Linked DNA regions of Arabidopsis thaliana. Each later gene encodes a partner of the first gene's protein in a complex. Each region holds a gene or a part of one and is shown in the gene's direction. Other genes may lie near its edges. The genes, in order: AT3G18500, AT1G27820, AT1G06450 and AT5G10960.

Region 1 (5,355 bases):
AAATAAATTAAATAAGAAGTCTTAATCTGGATTTATCATATGATTCCCAACATAGCGTTACATTTATACCGAATCAAATAAAAATTTAGACAAATGTAATTTGAGAATTGTGTTTATTTGTTATTGGCACCGAAAGAAGAATTTGTACTTTGTAGAATTCAACACAAAACTATAGCATAGTGTCTGTAGTCTGTACGGACGAGAGTAGAAACTGTAGAAGATAGGGATTTGACCTACTAAATATTTTAATACAAGTCTACAAGCGATTATCCAATATTAAGCTCCTAGAGATGTGTGACTACAGAGTACTTAAGTGTTTATTTATTGCAATGACCTTTGGATACAAAGTACTCCTATATTGTTAACCAATTCACTTTTAATTTTTTTTACGTGACCAAAGCTAAGATCTTATCTAGAAAACTAAAAGCTTTCTGTCCTTTTGTTATATTCGGGCTTCAAAACTTTGTACCTTCTTCTTACCATCGCTGTCGAGAGAAAAGTCAGCAGAAGTTTTGGAAACTATTAGTTATAGGGATCGAATTATCTTAATCATCTACGATCATGTCATTTTGTGTTGGATATTTGTTAATGCTTGTACATTTCTAAAAAAACATGTGTTGTATATTAGCTAATGTCAATATGTGGTGCATATTTGCTAAGTTGCCGTGGAAATAACAAAAACTTAAAATTTTGCTAAGTACTGTACTTTTTTTTTTTTGTGATTGCAATTTGCTTAAGGTGATTGATGAACGAAGGCTATATGTAAAAACTGGAAAGGAGTGAATCAATGTGAGAAGTGGGTGAGTTGTTACTTCGTTAGAAGAGAGATTTGGGTTTATTTCGCTTTCCCTGAATTAATGGTAACGCACCCTTTTGGCTTTGGTTGTTGCGTGTCATTTATTTCTCTTTTGTTTTTAATCTTGTTATATCCATTTTCTTATACCTACTTTACTTTTTTTCCATAAAATGAGATTATGCAATTCAATCAGTAATGTTTTAAATCGCATACACTTTTATATTTAACAATATGCCTTCACTAATTTGTATTTCAAGATTAGTTAGTGATATTTTATAGTAAAGTTTAAAGAACATTATAATGTAGACGCAATCATAGAGTTTTTCTTTGTCAAAGGCAATATTGCAACAAAAAAAAAGGTAGAAACGAAGACATTTTTTTTTTTGTGTGTGTAATCAGTAATCGCCTTACACAAAAAGACATATACTTTTTTGTGTAAGGTTTTTTTTTTTTGAGCTACTATCACTAAATTTGAAATCAAATAATTGATACTCCAATAAAAGTAGAAATAATATCATAGTATATGAAAAAACAAAAAAAAATTACAAGGACGATGAAAGAAAAAACAAAATCTCATAACTCAAAATCAAATATCATCTCCAAGTTCTTAACATGATAAAACTAGACTAAAATAAAAACTGACATCCTACTAAAATTAGAAACAAAATGACATAAATTGAAATCAAACTCACAAAAAAAAACAATAGACATTAAAACAAAAAATCCGAATAACAAAAAACAGGATCTCAGCTAAACAAGGCCTGGTGTAGTATACTAGTATTGGCCCATGGCCCATGGTTTGGTATTTTTTTTTCTCTGACCAAAGGAAGAAAAAAAAAAAGATATTTATCCGTATGGCGCCAAGAGGTTTGTGTGGTTTTCGATTTCATCCAAATTTCTGAATTTCGTCTCTAACATCCACAAAATCGAATGCGTTGTGTGAATCGCGTTGATTGTTCTTGGTCACGGCCAAGCGAAGCTTACCGTATCTTACCCTCCGGTGGTCACCTTTCATCTGGATTCCATCAATGTCCTTTATCGTCTCTATCTTTCCGTTCCTCTTTCGTGTGTTGCTCCTCCTCCACATCTGGACCGTCCGATTCAAATCCCGAATCATCTTCAAATCGCTCTTACAGCCGTAGATGGCAGAATCCTCTTCCCCGGCGTCAACATCCCGATCAAATACCGTCTTCTCAGATTGCTCGTGATTGGATCGATTCAGATACAACTCCAGTTTCTCAAGGTAGTTTAATAATGATCTTATGGAAAAACTCTGCTCTTACTTATGAATTTGTGAACTAGTTAGGATTTAGTAAATTAGAGATATTAGTAATAGCTTGAGTTACTGTTTGTCCATGAAGCTTGTGAAATTGTGGATGCCTTTGGATCTTACTAGTGTGTCTCTATGTAATATTAGCTTTAGAGAGATTCACTGTAGTGTCGTACAACATATTGGGAGATGGAAATTCATCATATCACAGAGAGTTGTACTCCAATGTGTCTGTTCCTTACCTCAAGTGGGGCTACCGCAAAAGGTTGATATGCGAAGAACTCATTCGTCTCAATCCAGACATAATCTCTATGCAGGTAATGAACTTTACCTTGTTTTATATCGTGTTAAGATAGTTAAGTTGATTTTGTTTGTGGACCTTTGTAGGAAGTAGATAAATATTTTGATCTATTCAGTATGATGGAGAAAGCTGGATATGCTGGCTCCTATAAGGTTGATGTATTTCCTTGTTCAATGAAAAATTTTATGCTTATAAGATTAATGGGGTAAAATGTAAGACATGGTTTGTCGGTTGGTTTTATTTACCTTTTCGTCTGAAGCCTCAACAAAAGTTGTGTTTATATAGAAGGACTACAAATATAAGCTTTGCAATGGCAGCGGCGAACTGGAGATAACGTCGATGGTTGCGCAATGTTTTGGAAGGCTGACAGGTAGCACATATTGTTTGACTCAATCTGTATTAGTGTGAAGAAAAACGACTACTACAACTCAGCATTGTTTAAGATTTATCTTGTTTTCAAAAGGTTTGGAGTTTTGGAGAGGGAAAACATTGAGTTTAGCCAGTTTGGTATGCGGGATAATGTTGCACAGCTTGCTGTTCTTGAGGTAGAAATTTTTTTTGAATGTTTTACGAACTTCTTTTTTCATGTATATGCTTTGACTGATCCAGTTTTTTTTTGGGTTTCCCGTCAGCTCCGGAAGTCTAATAAGTCAAGAAAGATACTGCTGGGTAACATTCACGTGCTTTATAATCCAAATCAAGGAGATGTGAAGCTGGGTCAGGTAAGCCTCGACATTTCAATTTGTATATCCGCTACACGAGCAATTGACTGTCATGAAAGTTTACAAAATGTTGATCTGGCCCTTTCACCTTTGGCTTTAAGACTTCAGGAAATTGTACTGAATCTCAGTCAAGAGATGTTTACTAGCATTAGTTTAAATATCTAAGACAAGTCTAAGTTACTAGTATATGTCATGACATGTTCATTAGTATATGTCCTAATGCTCATGAAAACGTATTGAATTCGTGGCTTATGTTTTTTCTTGAGTTCCTGATTTGCCTTGTTCTTGACTGATAGGTCCGTTCACTCTGCTCAAAGGCTCACTTGCTCTCTAAGAAATGGGGTGACATTCCCATTGTTCTATGCGGAGATTTCAATAGCACTCCCAAGGTACGTATCTTTTCAAATAAACTCTTCCACTTTGGTTTGTGTATTTGTTTATTCATTGTTTGAGTTTATCTTATTACGTGTAGAGTCCATTGTACAACTTCTTGGCGTCCTCTGAGGTATGACTATTCATAGTTTTGCTTCAGTCAAACTACACTGTGTCCTCTTGTAGTTTCTTTAAATAGGATTATGCTTCTATCTTACAGCTGAATGTCATGGAACATGACAAAAAAGAGCTGTCCGGCCAGAAAAATTGTCGTCCTACCAAAGTTCTTGAAACTGGTAGCAAATCCAGTAATACAATAACTTTCAGGTAAGATTGTTTTTTGAAGATTTAATCAGTTCTGTGAATGGTTGTCTTGTGACTGCCTGCTGGAATAGCCATTGTGTTCACACACTAGTAGAAGTTTTTGTAGCTCTTGGACAAAAGAAGAGATCCGTGTCGCAACCGGGCAAGAGAACTCGTACTGGGCTGCGCATCCTCTGAAACTCAATAGCTCATACGCCTCAGTTAAGGTAACAAACAAAGCTTTAATGTCCCTGTCTATATATGACAAGACCTTAAATTTGCTCATGAACATGGTACACAACAGGGCTCAGCAAATACCAGGGACTCTGTTGGTGAACCTCTAGCAACCTCATATCACTCGAAATTTCTCGGAACGGTTGATTATCTCTGGTAAAACATTCTAAACACAACCAAAACTCAAATGGACAAATTTAATATTTGGCTGATGAAGTAACTAATTAGAAATACATGTGTGGTCTGGTTAAGGTACTCTGATGGTCTTTTACCTGCAAGAGTTCTTGACACACTTCCTATTGATGTTCTATGCAAAACCAAAGGCCTTCCTTGTCAAGTATGTCTTTCTATCAAACAGTTTAGATTTGGTGAGGTCATTTCTATGATTGATGCTTAAAGCCTTATTCGTCTTTGGTTTGCAGGAATTGGGAAGCGATCACTTGGCTCTTGTTTCTGAATTTGTCTTTGAACCGGACGGTTAAAGGCATCTAGTGCCAGCTTAGTTTTCTTTGAACCGAACCGTTATAAATGTGTTTTTATTAAATGTATAAGCGTACCGAAATTACCTGATCATGGTTCTATATCAAACCGACTTCTCGATAAATAAATAAAAATTGAGACGATCAGAAGCTTCAATCTTGTGTGCGTATTGGGTCACTAGGATATTAAATCGACTTCTTCGAACGTAATTTAAAGTGAGAGAACCAGTTTACTTGATTCTGGATCTAAACCGAAGCGGACATAAGCTTGGTTTAAATGTACCAAAAAGAAAGAATTGAACCAATTGGTACGGTTCTAATCTTGGTTCCGGTAAAATGAAAAGGAATTCTAAAGAGATTGAGAGCTGTAAAGTTGGAATCGAAGGAAGAAGAGACAAGAGAAAGTGAGGAAATTAATGGCGTTGAGCTCAATGACATGGGGTTACGCACGGATCATAGCTGGAACACTTCTCGGCGGGGCCCTCGGATTCTACGTAATGCATCGCATCGAAGTTAGCTACAAGGTCTGTTTCTTCTCTCTGTCTTCCTATGAGAAAGCTTGTGCTCGACCTTAGACTGTTGGGTTTTACGCAGATGAGGATGGAGGAAGCGTTGAATCAATACGAGAAGGATATGCAGAAGAGACAAGAAGAAGAAAATCTTATTCAGATCAATGAAGAATCTGTTTAGCTTATTTCTTGGTAGCATGCCTTCAAAGTGTTCGATGAAATGCCCAACAGATGTTTGATGCTGTTTTGACTTTTTTTCTCTCATGTATTTTTCGGTTTGGTTTGGTCTGGCATTATGAAAATGTTTCATTTGTCTTTGGTTTAATAACTATATACCATGATGGTGGACCAGAGAAGCAGCCATATTGA
Region 2 (3,592 bases), on another chromosome or scaffold:
ACTACCCCATTATCATTTTGTGTCCCAGTTGAGGAAGCTCCAATACCTTCGATCACTTCATCCCTGGTGACTTCGTCTATACAAATAAGATTGGAATCCCTTTGCCCTTCGCAGCGTGTACCGTAACCCAATGGAGAGATTGTTTCTTCGCCAGGTACACTAAGACCAGTGTACGTACACGTTTCCAAGAGACGACTGAATTCCCCTGTATCTCCGCTAGGTACACTAACACCCGTGTACGTACACGTTTCCAATAAACGACTGAATTTCCCTGGATGTTGAGCAGTCTGTTGAGTGAGACTGACGTCTTCCTCAAGATTTCCTTGTACATATTCTTCTACTATTACATCGTTCCACTTGTTGTAATCGTATTCTTCGCCAATACCTTCACTACCGTCTGTGGTAGGATACAGGGTACTTCCCCCAATAGATCCATCCACACCAAGATAATCATCACACCCATCATCATCTTCGTTGCCCTCCTCCAATTCATCCGCTTCTGTTGTATCGTCTTCAACATCGGCTTGCTCCTCTGCATCCTCATTATTTTCATCAACATTTGTAGCACTATCAAACACACGGTCACTTTCAGAAACTTCACCATGAGACCTAGAGACAGTATTCCCGAACGCCTTCACTGTATTATTGAAAGAGACGAACAAGTTGAGAGAAAGATACCCACCACGAACCAAAAAAAACGTCTCGAGACCCATCTGACTGTCAATGTATACAGGAGGGCGTTTAGTATCTATCAGCACTGACATTTCACCCGGCATCCAGTAGCTAATTATGGGATTGATCTCGGTGGACTTCAAACTGAAAGCCTCTCGGAGTGTACGGACAAAGTCCGTGTACGTCATGGTTTCCTGAACGCGTACACAACGACCAAAGATGCCTTCCTCAGGTTCAAATTTCCATTCTCCTTCTTTGCATTTCCACTCACCGACCATGGTAAATACGGGAATATCCATAACCCACCTGCATCATAAATTCAGGAGACACACATTAAATGCAACTGAAAAATACTATACATATAAAAAACAAATGGAATGTCGATACTACACATTTATAAACCTAAATACCAATTATCATTTGACTATTTTAAACAAACAAATATAGATTTTGCAAATATTCTGATAAAAAAATGGAGTTCGAACACAATCAAGATCCTAATATGACATAAAAAAAACTTCTTAAAAGAACTTCATTACTTACACGAGCAATGCTCCAAACTTGGTACAAAAACAAGATCAACACTTCTTCAGCAGCAATGTACGTTCGCAATAATTCTTTGTTCCTGGGTTCATCTTCTTCATCTCAACAAATTTTTTTTTAATTATTATTAATAATTTTTTTAATATTATTTGATGTAATGATGATTTTGCATTAATTGTGACAATAGTCACATCTAAACTTTTTGGGGGCATTAAATGTTGATGTCACTTCGGAATAATCTCACTTGTAACGGAACCGAATCGCGTCAACGTGAACAAAAAATCTTCAACTGAACCGGAACAGTGTACGTAACTAAACCTGCTAAACTAAACCGTACATTTCAACAGTTGCTAAGAGAGAAACGCAAGGGCAGAAACGTCATTTTGCAGGCGAAAAGACAAATGGTGAAAACCACATTTGACTTTGACAATCCATGGAAATAAAACATGGTCAACGGATGTGGCCTGCAATTTACCCTATTTTCTATTCACAGTAAAAAATGATTATAAAGTTATTAAAATCTATTTAAACAAATATCTAGTTGCTCTATATAAAATATACATAATTATGTGCGAAAAACAATCACCGCACTAAGTTAGTTTTTTTTTTTTCTTTGGCTTTTAAGAGAAAAATGGAAATTCTCGTGTTTAACAAGAATTAGGAGAAACAAAAAGGAAATTTTGTGTTGTGCCTTAAAAAAAAAAGGAAACTGAAGTCTGTGTTACTCTACATAATCTAATCTCCTCTAACAACAATCCTAATAACCAAACGAAAATAAATTCAGGTGGCTTCTCGCTTTTCTCTTTCAGAAAAACAAACGTTTTTTTCTTTCGTAGTTTCGTTCGAGATGAAGCAAATTAGTAGCGGTGAAGTTTGGAGATGGAACAAGGAAGTAGAGATGAATTCGATAAGAGATTGTTTGAAACATTGTAGTTCCATCGCTATCGACACAGAGTTTCCCGGATGCTTAAAGGAGACTCCGATGGACGCGAGTGAGGAAATTCGTTACAGAGACATGAAGTTCAATGTGGACAACACCCATCTCATCCAGTTAGGTTTCACGCTATTCGACAGAAGAGGATTCGCTAAAACCTGGGAAATAAACTTGTCAGATTTCGACGAACATAAGTGCTTCAAAAACGATAAGTCCATTGCGTTTCTGAAAAGCAATGGTCTCAATCTGGACAAGATCAGAGAGGAAGGTATTGGAATCGATGAATTCTTTAGAGACTTTTCTCAGATTCTCACGGAGAAGGACGGAAAGATAACTTGGGTGAATTTTCAAGGCTCTTACGACAATGCTTATCTCGTTAAAGGCTTAACGGGAGGGAAACCGTTACCGGAGACTAAGGAAGAGTTTCACGAGACCGTCCAGCAGCTTTTGGGAAAGTTTGTTTTTGACGTAAAGAAAATCGCTGAATCATGCAGCGGACTAAGTAGCCAATTCGGACTACAGAGAATAGCTGATGTGTTGCAGATGAAACGTGTTGGAAAAGCTCATCACGCTGGCTCAGACAGTGAATTGACGGCTCGTGTCTTCACTAAGTTGACTTTCGATTTGCTTAATAGTAGAAAGCAGAGTGTAAGACGAGTTGATCATCAGCAATTTCAACTAGAGCAGCAACAGCATCAGCAGTTTATGATGACTAGATGTTACATCCCGATACCGATGCCGATACCGAGACCGAGACCGGTGATGTTTGCTGCTCATCACCAGAACCCGTATTTTGGTGGTGGTTACTTTAGGATGCCGGTCCAAGGAATGAACTATGTTTTGTGATCCCTGAATGTTTGTTTAACATGACTTGCTCTGCTATTATGTATAATTTCTAGTTTTATCAGATGTTTCTTTAAATACTAAAGATTAACTTTCATCTTTTCTTGTCGATCAAAACAATTCTCTTAACTCTCATATGACACAATTTCTCTTTACTGGATACTTTTAATGAATCTAAAAAGTTAGAATACAGTACAAATAAATTTAAATATCTTAGAATCTACTCAAAGCCTCTAATCTTATGTTATGTAGCTAAAGCTGCGTTCCTGTCAACAAAATTGAACAACTCTGTTTGTGCCGCTTCCATTTTCACACGGAAGTCTACGCACATGAGCTATAAACCACGCGGTATTTATTAAGTTGCCAACTTGGTCATTTACAAAAAGTCGAATAGGCTGCAACTACATTCTGCAAATTTTGTAAAGGGTGAAACTACCCAGTAAAAGAACTGTGTTCAAATAGATTTTTATTATTTTACTTTTACACTTTGACGTAGTTATCTTTAGTTACAAATTTATGGTCTTCGCCGAATAAAGAGATTCGTTTTGGTCTTACAGTCGATCGTTGTTTATTCGGTTCGCATTGACTCGGAACGAGTTT
Region 3 (4,054 bases), on another chromosome or scaffold:
GCTGATCTTTTCTACCTCCACCATCTTCTCTACAGTCAGATTCAGGAACTCGTGAGCAATCGCAACCGCTCTTTTCTCTATTCCCATCACACCGGATCTACTCTTCTTCTTACCAACCATGTCCTCGTATGGCCCTACGTAAGGCAGCCTCTGCCATTCCTTAACTTTAGCCTTAAATGTCTTGCTCAGTCTCATTCCTGGTGGGTAACTATGTTTGAAACTAAACTGAATCTCGGTTCTATCGACACTGCAATCCTCCTTAGAACACTCAACCACCCTCCATTTCTCAACCGCGGCCTCAAATTCCAGTCTTTTCTCTTCTTCCTGAACCAGCTCTAAGATATGGGTGTTGGATTCATGACCATCACTAAGCTTAAAAAGATGAGGGTTCTTTGAGATCACAGAGTCCTCAAAATCATCTGGGAGCCCAAGTTCTCTCCAAACCTTAAAAACCGCACGAAGCGGAATGGACTTTGATATGGACATAGACAAGAGCCTAACCAACCGGTCAACAACAAGAGACAAAGTAGCAGTGATAGCCAAAGCCTCTTGGCGAGAAATCTCCATGGCTACATCAGTTAACCTGCAAAAGGGCTCAGCTTTCACAGGATCATACAAGACATGAAAGATGTGAGGATACTTTCGCAGGAAAGAAGCAGCGCCACGATTAAGGTGGAGCTTCTGGGAGAGCCTGGAGAGAAACTCAATGGATAGAGAGGGAGGATCAGCTGTTGGATTGGCGAGGGTAAGGTCTTGTATGGCAATGACCTTGAGAAGGTTCTTGTATTTGTCCATGAGCTTCTCGAAAACAGGGTCTCTTGATCTGGAAGCTACATATTGAGCAGACGTAGTCGTTGATCGGACATTGATGATGGAGCCACCACATGGGTGAACCAGAAGTGATCTCATGAGGAGGAACCTCATAGTATCTCAAAGAGTATATGGAGCTATTTTGAGTTTCCGCGTTCCACAACGTCGCTGTATATACCCACACTCTCTGCGGAATTATATCGAACACCTAACAGGCATTAAGGGAAAAAACGAAATTAAAAAATGAAGTAGAAGAATTATATGGACCTTTGTATTTTCATGTCCAAGACCAAAACACATCTATAAGCGAATCAATTACCGCTATAAAATTTATTTAAACTAATAAAACACATACAATAATAGTTTAGCCTAGTAAATAATTATACTAGTTTGATATCATAAACTTTTGGTATGAGAGGATAAATGCTGTCAAATATAAAGTTTTATAAAACAAAATATTTTAATGTTATGGATAAGTTTTTGACTTACAAAGAATTAAAATGGTATGATGCGATTTCTATAATTAGTGTCAAAGCATCTAATAACAATAACCATTCAAGTTCTTAGTGTTTAAAATCAAAAGTTTAAACACTAATTGATACTCATTTTACATATTAATCTAATACTTGTATTGGAAGTTTTGCCATTATCTATTAATTATATGTAATTTACTTTTTGGGACGGAAAAAGGAAATTGTGGATTGGTTAAAAAGAGAGTAAAAGCACCATATAGTAGCAAAAAGTAAAAGATAACTACAAGAATTTCCTAACTCCTAACGAAAATTAAAAAAGAAGAAGATAATTTCTAAATTAAATTTAACAGAAATTAAATTAACAAATAAAATTATAATCAGAGAGAATATAAACCGTCATGATCAACACCGCGTTAAAATTAATTGGAGAGCAAGCTATTAGCTTAAGCTATGTATCTTTAATTAATTAGAAAAAATCCGAGAAAAAAGGAAACTCAGGTACACGAATTTATTTAAGAAAAGGATAAATACTCTCTTTTTTTTTATAAAGAACCCTAATGCTCTCACACAATCAATCAAACCAAAAAGACTTCTCGTATTCATGCCTCTCCCTCCTAAGAAAAGAACCCTAATTTTTATTATCTGCAGAAATCATCATCATGAACGAGATTCATCAACCGCTGGCGAGGAGAGTATGGAGAAGCAACGTCGATGAAGAGATGGCTCGTATGGCCGAATGTCTCAAGCGATTCCCACTCATCGCTTTCGATACAGAGTACCCTGGCATTATTTTCCGCACTTATTTCGATTCCTCTAGCGACGAATGTTACAGAGCCATGAAAGGTAATGTCGAGAACACCAAGCTGATCCAGTGTGGTTTCACTCTTTTCAACGCCAAGGGAGAGATCGGTGGTGTTTGGGAGATTAACTTCTCCAATTTCGGCGACCCATCAGACACACGCAACGAGCTTTCCATCGAATTCTTGAGGAGGCATGGTTTGGATTTGCAGAAGATTAGAGACGAAGGAGTTGATATGTTCGGCTACGGGTTTTTCCCTAAGCTTATGACTGTGTTTCGTTCTCAGAAACACGTTGAGTTCGTCACTTTCCAAGGAGCTTACGATTTCGCTTACTTCTTGAGTATCCTCAATCATGGCAAGCTACCAGAGACTCACGGCGAGTTTGCAACAGAGGTTGTCAAAGTGTTCGGTCAAGTTTACGACACCAAGGTCATGGCTGGATTCTGTGAAGGACTAGGTGAACACCTCGGGTTAAGCAAACTAGCCCAGCTACTTCAGATCACTCGTGTGGGAAGAGCACATCACGCTGGTTCAGACAGCTTAATGACTGCACTTGTCTTCATCAAGCTTAAACATGTCTATGAAGATTCCAGATTTGCTAGAGGATTGATCTATGGAATTGGGAAAAGCAACCTCGTTGCCGCCCCTGCCCCTGCGCCTGTGCCAGAGCCGACTCTTCCTTTGATGTGCCAGCAGAATGTAGCTTCATATCCTGTGTTCCACAATGGATATGTCCAGAACTATGAGCAGCCTCAGCTTGTCTCCTACGATCCTTCAGGTGCCCCATGGGCGTTCTGTAATGCTACCGGTACGTATGTGCAGCTTACTCATCTACCTGCAAGCACTTTTGCATACCCGTCTCAGACGCCATCTGCTACTGTTGATTATCTTGGACCAGTTCCTAATTATTACAACAATAATGCTTGCTACGTAGTTGAGTAGATTGAGATTTCCCCAGCTTTAGGATGATTAGATGCTTCTGAGCTTTTTTCTTTTTTTTTTCTTTTTCTTTTCTGGCTTTTGGTAGTAGTAATGAAGATTTTATTTTTATATATTTATGGATTGTTTACATGGCTTCACTTTGAGTAATGCCTGTCTACAATCTGTGATATATAAAAGACCAAACTATTTTACATAAAAGACCAAACTTTCTTCATGATTTGATATTTTTCTTTTCCACACAAACTGCTATATCACACACAATGTTTACCGTATCTATATATGGTTTCAGAACGATGAACCCTCAAAGCTTTGGAATTACTATTCTCAGAATCCCATCCCTGTTTCAAACGCAATAATAAATTGGATGTTAGTGCTCTTTATAAAACTTGCTAAATTCTATCTAAACTAATTCAAGCTAATGACTGACTGGCACTAAGATGTAAAATTGGATTCTAAAACGACTACTTTTTAGGTGTGCACTACTAGCTAAAACCTACAGGCAGAATCTATCATATGAACTCTAGGATTGAAAGATTTAAGGAGAATAGTTGTTTGATCATACGGTTAGATTGTTAGTAAGTATAGCTTCTACTTACATAAATTCAGCGGAAACATTATCCTTGTTCACATTGCTGGGGAGTGGCCAGGAAACTTTGAATGGTCCTTGTAGTATTTCTTGCTTATGATATCCAAGGATCGAAGCTTTGGTGCCTGCATCAACTTTTTGACAGATAGATGTGCGTCTACCTGTCACAGTCAAGCTGCAGCAGAACGGTAAGTACCTTTGTTACACAATGCATTTTTACTGTGTGAGTAATGGGAACAGATTGAAAAAAGATGTGTATCAGCAGGATTACTTTGTGTTGTCAACCTCCACTCTTATATCATTGATACTGGCTCCTGGTAGCTCTATTGCCACAACATAGCTGTGTGTCGATTCAGCAACATTCGATCTGGGAGACCAAACAGTACCTGCAAAAGGAAAAAAACTTCTTTAAGTAAGTTCTCATGTTCATTTGTACGGATTTG
Region 4 (4,850 bases), on another chromosome or scaffold:
AAAATATGGTCATATTATTATGAACGATATATCTTCAGATTTACGGTCTTGGTTTTTAATGGTTTTCTAATAAGATTATTTTCTCTGAAACGTGATCAAGAACTAAATACTCGTTTTTACGAGTGAACTTAACGTTTAGTAACTTAACAGCTATGAGCCTTCTTATCTTTAAGTGTATCTTATAATAGATCATATCGAAATGTTACCTAGAGTTCATGTAGAATATGACATTTGTTTTATCAAGCTGTTCGAACATTTGTAGGAACGATCTAAACATCTCTAAACAATCCAAAACCCATAAAATTAAACAAATATTTGGTACTAGATGATTTACCTAATCTAAATTATATGTGCACGTGATATTAAAGAATTTATCTACGTTAAATACATGCAACTGTTTAAATAATTCTTTCTAATTTAAGTAACAAAAATTTCAATTTTAGTTTCTATTTTCGTTTTTTTCGATTTTGATTTTAAATATAGAATTCTATTTAGATTTTAGATGAGCAAGCAATTACACGGTGAGACATATTTTTGGAGGGTAACAATTAAGTAAATTTTGTTATATATATAAGAACAATTATGCAGAAACTTTCATGTTTGGTATGTGTTGGATTCCAGAAGAAATTTCCTAAAAATGGTCGGATGATGAAACCACCATCTAATATTTCGTGACTTGACATTACTTGTTTATTTTTTTTAATTTATAGAAAAAGGTACACAATTATTTGATATAAAACAAGCTAATACATTAGTTTATATAAAAACGAATTAATTATTACAAAACAATGGATTATGCTTGAGGGTAAGTGGGAAGCACGATGATGCCTTGACTCCGTAATAATAATTAGAATTAAAATTCCTTTATCCCCTTTCTTCCTAATAGTTGTCTTTTTTTGTAAAAAAAAAAAGAACTTTGGTCCTCGTTTGAGTTGGAGAATCTTTTCATGTAATAATTTTAAGAAGAAAAACTGATTACGCTGGTGAAACTTGAAAGTTTTTTTCTAAAATAAATAAATCTAAAATGATTCTATTCATGAACGAAGATGATTGTAACAAGTGATGCATGTATCTCTATCAAACGTCTTCCCATTCGTTGTATGATTGCATTAATATTGGCCACTTGTAACTTGTAAGGTAGAAATCCCAAAGTCAATTCTATTATAATTAAAATTACTTTGTTTTGTTTAACAATTATGCTAACAAATCCTTCTTAATAACAAGATAACATAAATCTAAAATCCTTTTTTTGAGTTGAAAAAAAACAAGATACCATATTTTCAATTAATTGGCAGAACTACATAGGAAACAAATCCGAAATTGAAGAGTTTACATAGAAGAAAAAAAAACAGAAATAAAAGAGTTTACCTGGAAAATAATCAAATATTATGTTCTTTCAAATTTTCGACAAAAAAAAAAATTGATATTCTTTCAATTTTGTGAGATAATCAGTACAGAAATTATTAAAATGTGATATAAAATTGCGAGACAATCCGTAGGAATATTATTACCAAATGATATAAAACTGAGTTAAAATTGTAAGAAAAAGAAGTTTTAAGGTTCTTCAAATCATCTAGCTGACTAGCTCCATAGCAAAAATAAATAATTTTGATTGTTTATTAGCACAATCTGTTTCTTAACCATATAAATTTAGACTTGTACAAAAATCAAAATGCAGTTTAGTTTATACAACTTTTCCTATAACTATAAAGTTCGATCGTCATAATAAGGTATAACAATTTAACTCTAGTACCAAATGCTATAAAATACATAAAATTTAAGAATAATGGAGGTAGGTCTACAAAGCAAAAGAAAAAAAAAAGATCATGGAAGTTACAAACGAACGGAATTTCCGTGATACACATAAATAAAAATTGGTCATCATATCACACAATTCGCATCATTAAAATAATTAGAAAACGGACAATACGGATAAAATAATTGGTAACTGGCCAAAACGTAATGATTGATGTAAGAAGACGCACGGCAAAACGTCGTCGTATAAGCTTTTCATCGTCAAACAAAACGGCTTCGTTTCAAGGCTCACACTTGTCTTTATTTATCACTTCATCTTCTCCAAAGCCATACCACTTGAAACCTCTCTCTCTGGTTGACCCGATAATTTCTCTCTCGCAGACGCACAGATCTCTCTTCGAATCTGCTAGATCTGTTCCTTTTCTTACATCTGTATTGCGAAACCTCTGGTAATTTCATACTTTCATGTCTCTCCGTTTCATTTCGATTTTCGTTTCACAGCTAGGGTTTGCTTTTTGTTACATCGATTTCTGATTTTCCTGGTGTTGTTGCCTCTTCCTCAGATCGGAAGGTTTCGTTTACAGATCTACCGATACGAGTTTCGCAGTATTTCCGAGTTCCGACGTATGCTTTGTTTTCAGATCTGGGTTTGTTGTATATCTAGAAATGGCGGAGACTTTGAAAGAAGATTCGATTATGATTCGAGAGGTTTGGGATTACAATTTGGTTGAAGAATTCGCGTTGATCCGTGAGATTGTTGACAAATTCAGCTATATCGCTATGGATACTGAGTTTCCAGGTGTGGTTTTGAAGCCTGTTGCTACTTTCAAGTACAATAACGATCTTAACTACAGGACTCTCAAGGAAAATGTCGATTTGTTGAAATTGATTCAAGTTGGGTTAACTTTTTCTGATGAGAATGGGAATCTTCCGACTTGTGGGACGGATAAGTTCTGCATCTGGCAATTCAATTTCCGTGAGTTCAACATCGGTGAGGATATCTACGCGAGTGAGTCTATTGAGCTGTTGCGTCAGTGTGGGATTGATTTCAAGAAGAACATTGAGAAAGGTATTGATGTGGTTAGGTTTGGTGAGCTTATGATGTCGTCTGGGATTGTTTTGAACGATGCTATCTCGTGGGTTACGTTCCATGGTGGATATGATTTCGGGTATTTGGTTAAGTTGTTGACTTGTAAGGAATTGCCTCTCAAGCAAGCTGATTTCTTCAAGCTTCTGTATGTGTATTTCCCTACGGTTTACGATATCAAGCACTTGATGACGTTCTGCAACGGACTGTTTGGTGGATTGAACAGACTTGCGGAGCTTATGGGAGTGGAGAGAGTTGGGATTTGTCATCAAGCTGGGTCGGATAGCTTGCTCACCTTAGGGTCGTTTAGGAAGCTCAAGGAACGTTATTTCCCGGGATCAACTGAGAAATACACTGGAGTCTTGTATGGTCTAGGTGTGGAAGATGGTACTACTACTACTGTTGCTAATTAAGAAGAAAGGAATGAAAGATACTTTGAAAATTCCAGGGAAGTGCGATTAGATATATTTCTTTAGTCTTTGTGAGTGTGAGAAGACCAAAATAGAATCGTCGTTGTGTAAATTGGCAAATTGGTGTTAGTAAGTGACTTGTTGTGTCTTTGTTGCTTTGTTTTCAGGAAAACCCCTTGTGATCAAAATTTGAGGGGTTTTTGTTTTAGCTTGAGTTTCTGAATGTATATCAATTCAGCTACCCGTTTATTTAATAAATAATCTCCAATTTTAATTTTTCTTCTCTTTTCTTTTTGTGTGTGTTTTCTTCTTACTAGTGACCAATGTAACTTGACAGTGGCTTCTTGTAGTAGCGTTTGCATGTCTCAGCTTGCAGTTACTGTGTAATTCTTTGTAACCATACCAGTTTGAAGATGCAAACTGGTAAGTTTTATGCTTAAGAGAATGTTGAATCTTCCTGTGTTCTTCTTTCCCTCTTCGTTGATACAAGTTGATAAGGAGAACAATGAACTGCTTATGCTAGAGGTTATATGTGTTACATTGTTTAAAAAACAGAGCTATGGTAATCGATTGATGTATAGATTTGTTATTTAGGTGTTTATGATGTAAGTGGTATCATGTCATGGTTAATGTGGAGGAGAATCACATATGTATGCTGTTGCATTCGCCAATCACCTCAATAGCCAATTTATTATCATATTGTCAATGAGTAGCATTCTAATGCAATCAATGTTTTGTTGGGCAAGTATTCAGACGTCATCTGAGTCGCAAGTGGTACAGAAGATTACGAGATTTGACTGATTGAGACGTCGTAGCTCATTCAATTGCCGAAGAAAAAAAAAAAAGTATCAGCCTGTTGGAAGTATTATGTCAAAATGTGGATTTGTGTATGAACTCAGTTTCCATCAAGATAATTAAATCTAAGTTTCTCAAAACCTTAAATATTTCATTACACGAACTTGTTTGATGATCGAAAACATATGATCCAATAGCAACACGACACGAGAAATAAAGTAAAAAGAAGAAAACAACAGCAATACGGCAAAAGTCCGAGTCACTATTATGTAGGTGTGGCAGAGAATCAAATCTACTTCTTATTACAGAAGAAACAGTGTACTTGCTAGTCCTGTCTTTAACGGCTTCTCTGAGTCTCTTCACGTGTGTTTGTGTGTTGGGAATTGGGATTCTGATTTGGGCCTTTGTTGTGTGGGCTTTGATCAGAGGTGGGAGAACGTTTTTACCAAGGTTGAATTGGGATTCTGATTTGGGCATGTTTGTTGTTTTAGGGTTTAGTTATTATCAAATGACCACTATTGGCTATTGCTTTGCTTTAGGTAACCAAAAAAACGTTACATATTTAAATAAAAATGTGTAACACAGTGCGGACGAAATAGCATCAAAATTATTTATATACATATCAGATATGAATTGAGTTAATTAGTGTCTAATTATTATCTTGTGGCTGCCATATGTCTTTTTTGAACTTGTTCTCGTTGAGGAAAATTTGGTATGCCTAAACATAGTATGTTTATCAATTTGGTTGAGACCAGCAAAATATCAGTGCCAACCCTAATTATAACGATTACTCATCAACTTAT

The links.
Region 2: AT3G18500 (region 1) and AT1G27820 share a complex: the UniProt entries of both Arabidopsis thaliana proteins name them as parts of the CCR4-NOT complex.
Region 3: AT3G18500 (region 1) and AT1G06450 share a complex: the UniProt entries of both Arabidopsis thaliana proteins name them as parts of the CCR4-NOT complex.
Region 4: AT3G18500 (region 1) and AT5G10960 share a complex: the UniProt entries of both Arabidopsis thaliana proteins name them as parts of the CCR4-NOT complex.

Annotation. Positions count from the first base shown.
Region 1 is NC_003074.8:6,350,818-6,356,172, forward strand, and holds AT3G18500 (DNAse I-like superfamily protein), read left to right. Parts: upstream 1-1,654; 5' UTR 1,655-1,726; coding exon 1,727-2,039; intron 2,040-2,213; coding exon 2,214-2,383; intron 2,384-2,453; coding exon 2,454-2,519; intron 2,520-2,684; coding exon 2,685-2,737; intron 2,738-2,830; coding exon 2,831-2,912; intron 2,913-2,999; coding exon 3,000-3,089; intron 3,090-3,385; coding exon 3,386-3,478; intron 3,479-3,561; coding exon 3,562-3,594; intron 3,595-3,681; coding exon 3,682-3,788; intron 3,789-3,879; coding exon 3,880-3,991; intron 3,992-4,068; coding exon 4,069-4,154; intron 4,155-4,250; coding exon 4,251-4,335; intron 4,336-4,420; coding exon 4,421-4,480; 3' UTR 4,481-4,629; downstream 4,630-5,355. Other genes in the region: AT3G18510 (ATP-dependent helicase/nuclease subunit), read left to right, coding at 4,894-5,001, 5,072-5,167. UniProt on the Arabidopsis thaliana protein: Acts as a catalytic component of the CCR4-NOT core complex, which in the nucleus seems to be a general transcription factor, and in the cytoplasm the major mRNA deadenylase involved in mRNA turnover.
Region 2 is NC_003070.9:9,689,566-9,693,157, forward strand, and holds AT1G27820 (Polynucleotidyl transferase, ribonuclease H-like superfamily protein), read left to right. Parts: upstream 1-2,062; coding exon 2,063-2,995; downstream 2,996-3,592. UniProt on the Arabidopsis thaliana protein: Ubiquitous transcription factor required for a diverse set of processes. It is a component of the CCR4 complex involved in the control of gene expression.
Region 3 is NC_003070.9:1,963,982-1,968,035, forward strand, and holds AT1G06450 (Polynucleotidyl transferase, ribonuclease H-like superfamily protein), read left to right. Parts: upstream 1-1,858; 5' UTR 1,859-1,942; coding exon 1,943-3,025; 3' UTR 3,026-3,238; downstream 3,239-4,054. Other genes in the region: AT1G06440 (Ubiquitin carboxyl-terminal hydrolase family protein), read right to left, coding at 1-924; ACD32.1 (alpha-crystallin domain 32.1), read right to left, coding at 3,327-3,363, 3,622-3,786, 3,883-3,997. UniProt on the Arabidopsis thaliana protein: Ubiquitous transcription factor required for a diverse set of processes. It is a component of the CCR4 complex involved in the control of gene expression.
Region 4 is NC_003076.8:3,462,160-3,467,009, forward strand, and holds AT5G10960 (Polynucleotidyl transferase, ribonuclease H-like superfamily protein), read left to right. Parts: upstream 1-1,938; 5' UTR 1,939-2,204; intron 2,205-2,318; 5' UTR 2,319-2,421; coding exon 2,422-3,255; 3' UTR 3,256-4,155; downstream 4,156-4,850. UniProt on the Arabidopsis thaliana protein: Ubiquitous transcription factor required for a diverse set of processes. It is a component of the CCR4 complex involved in the control of gene expression.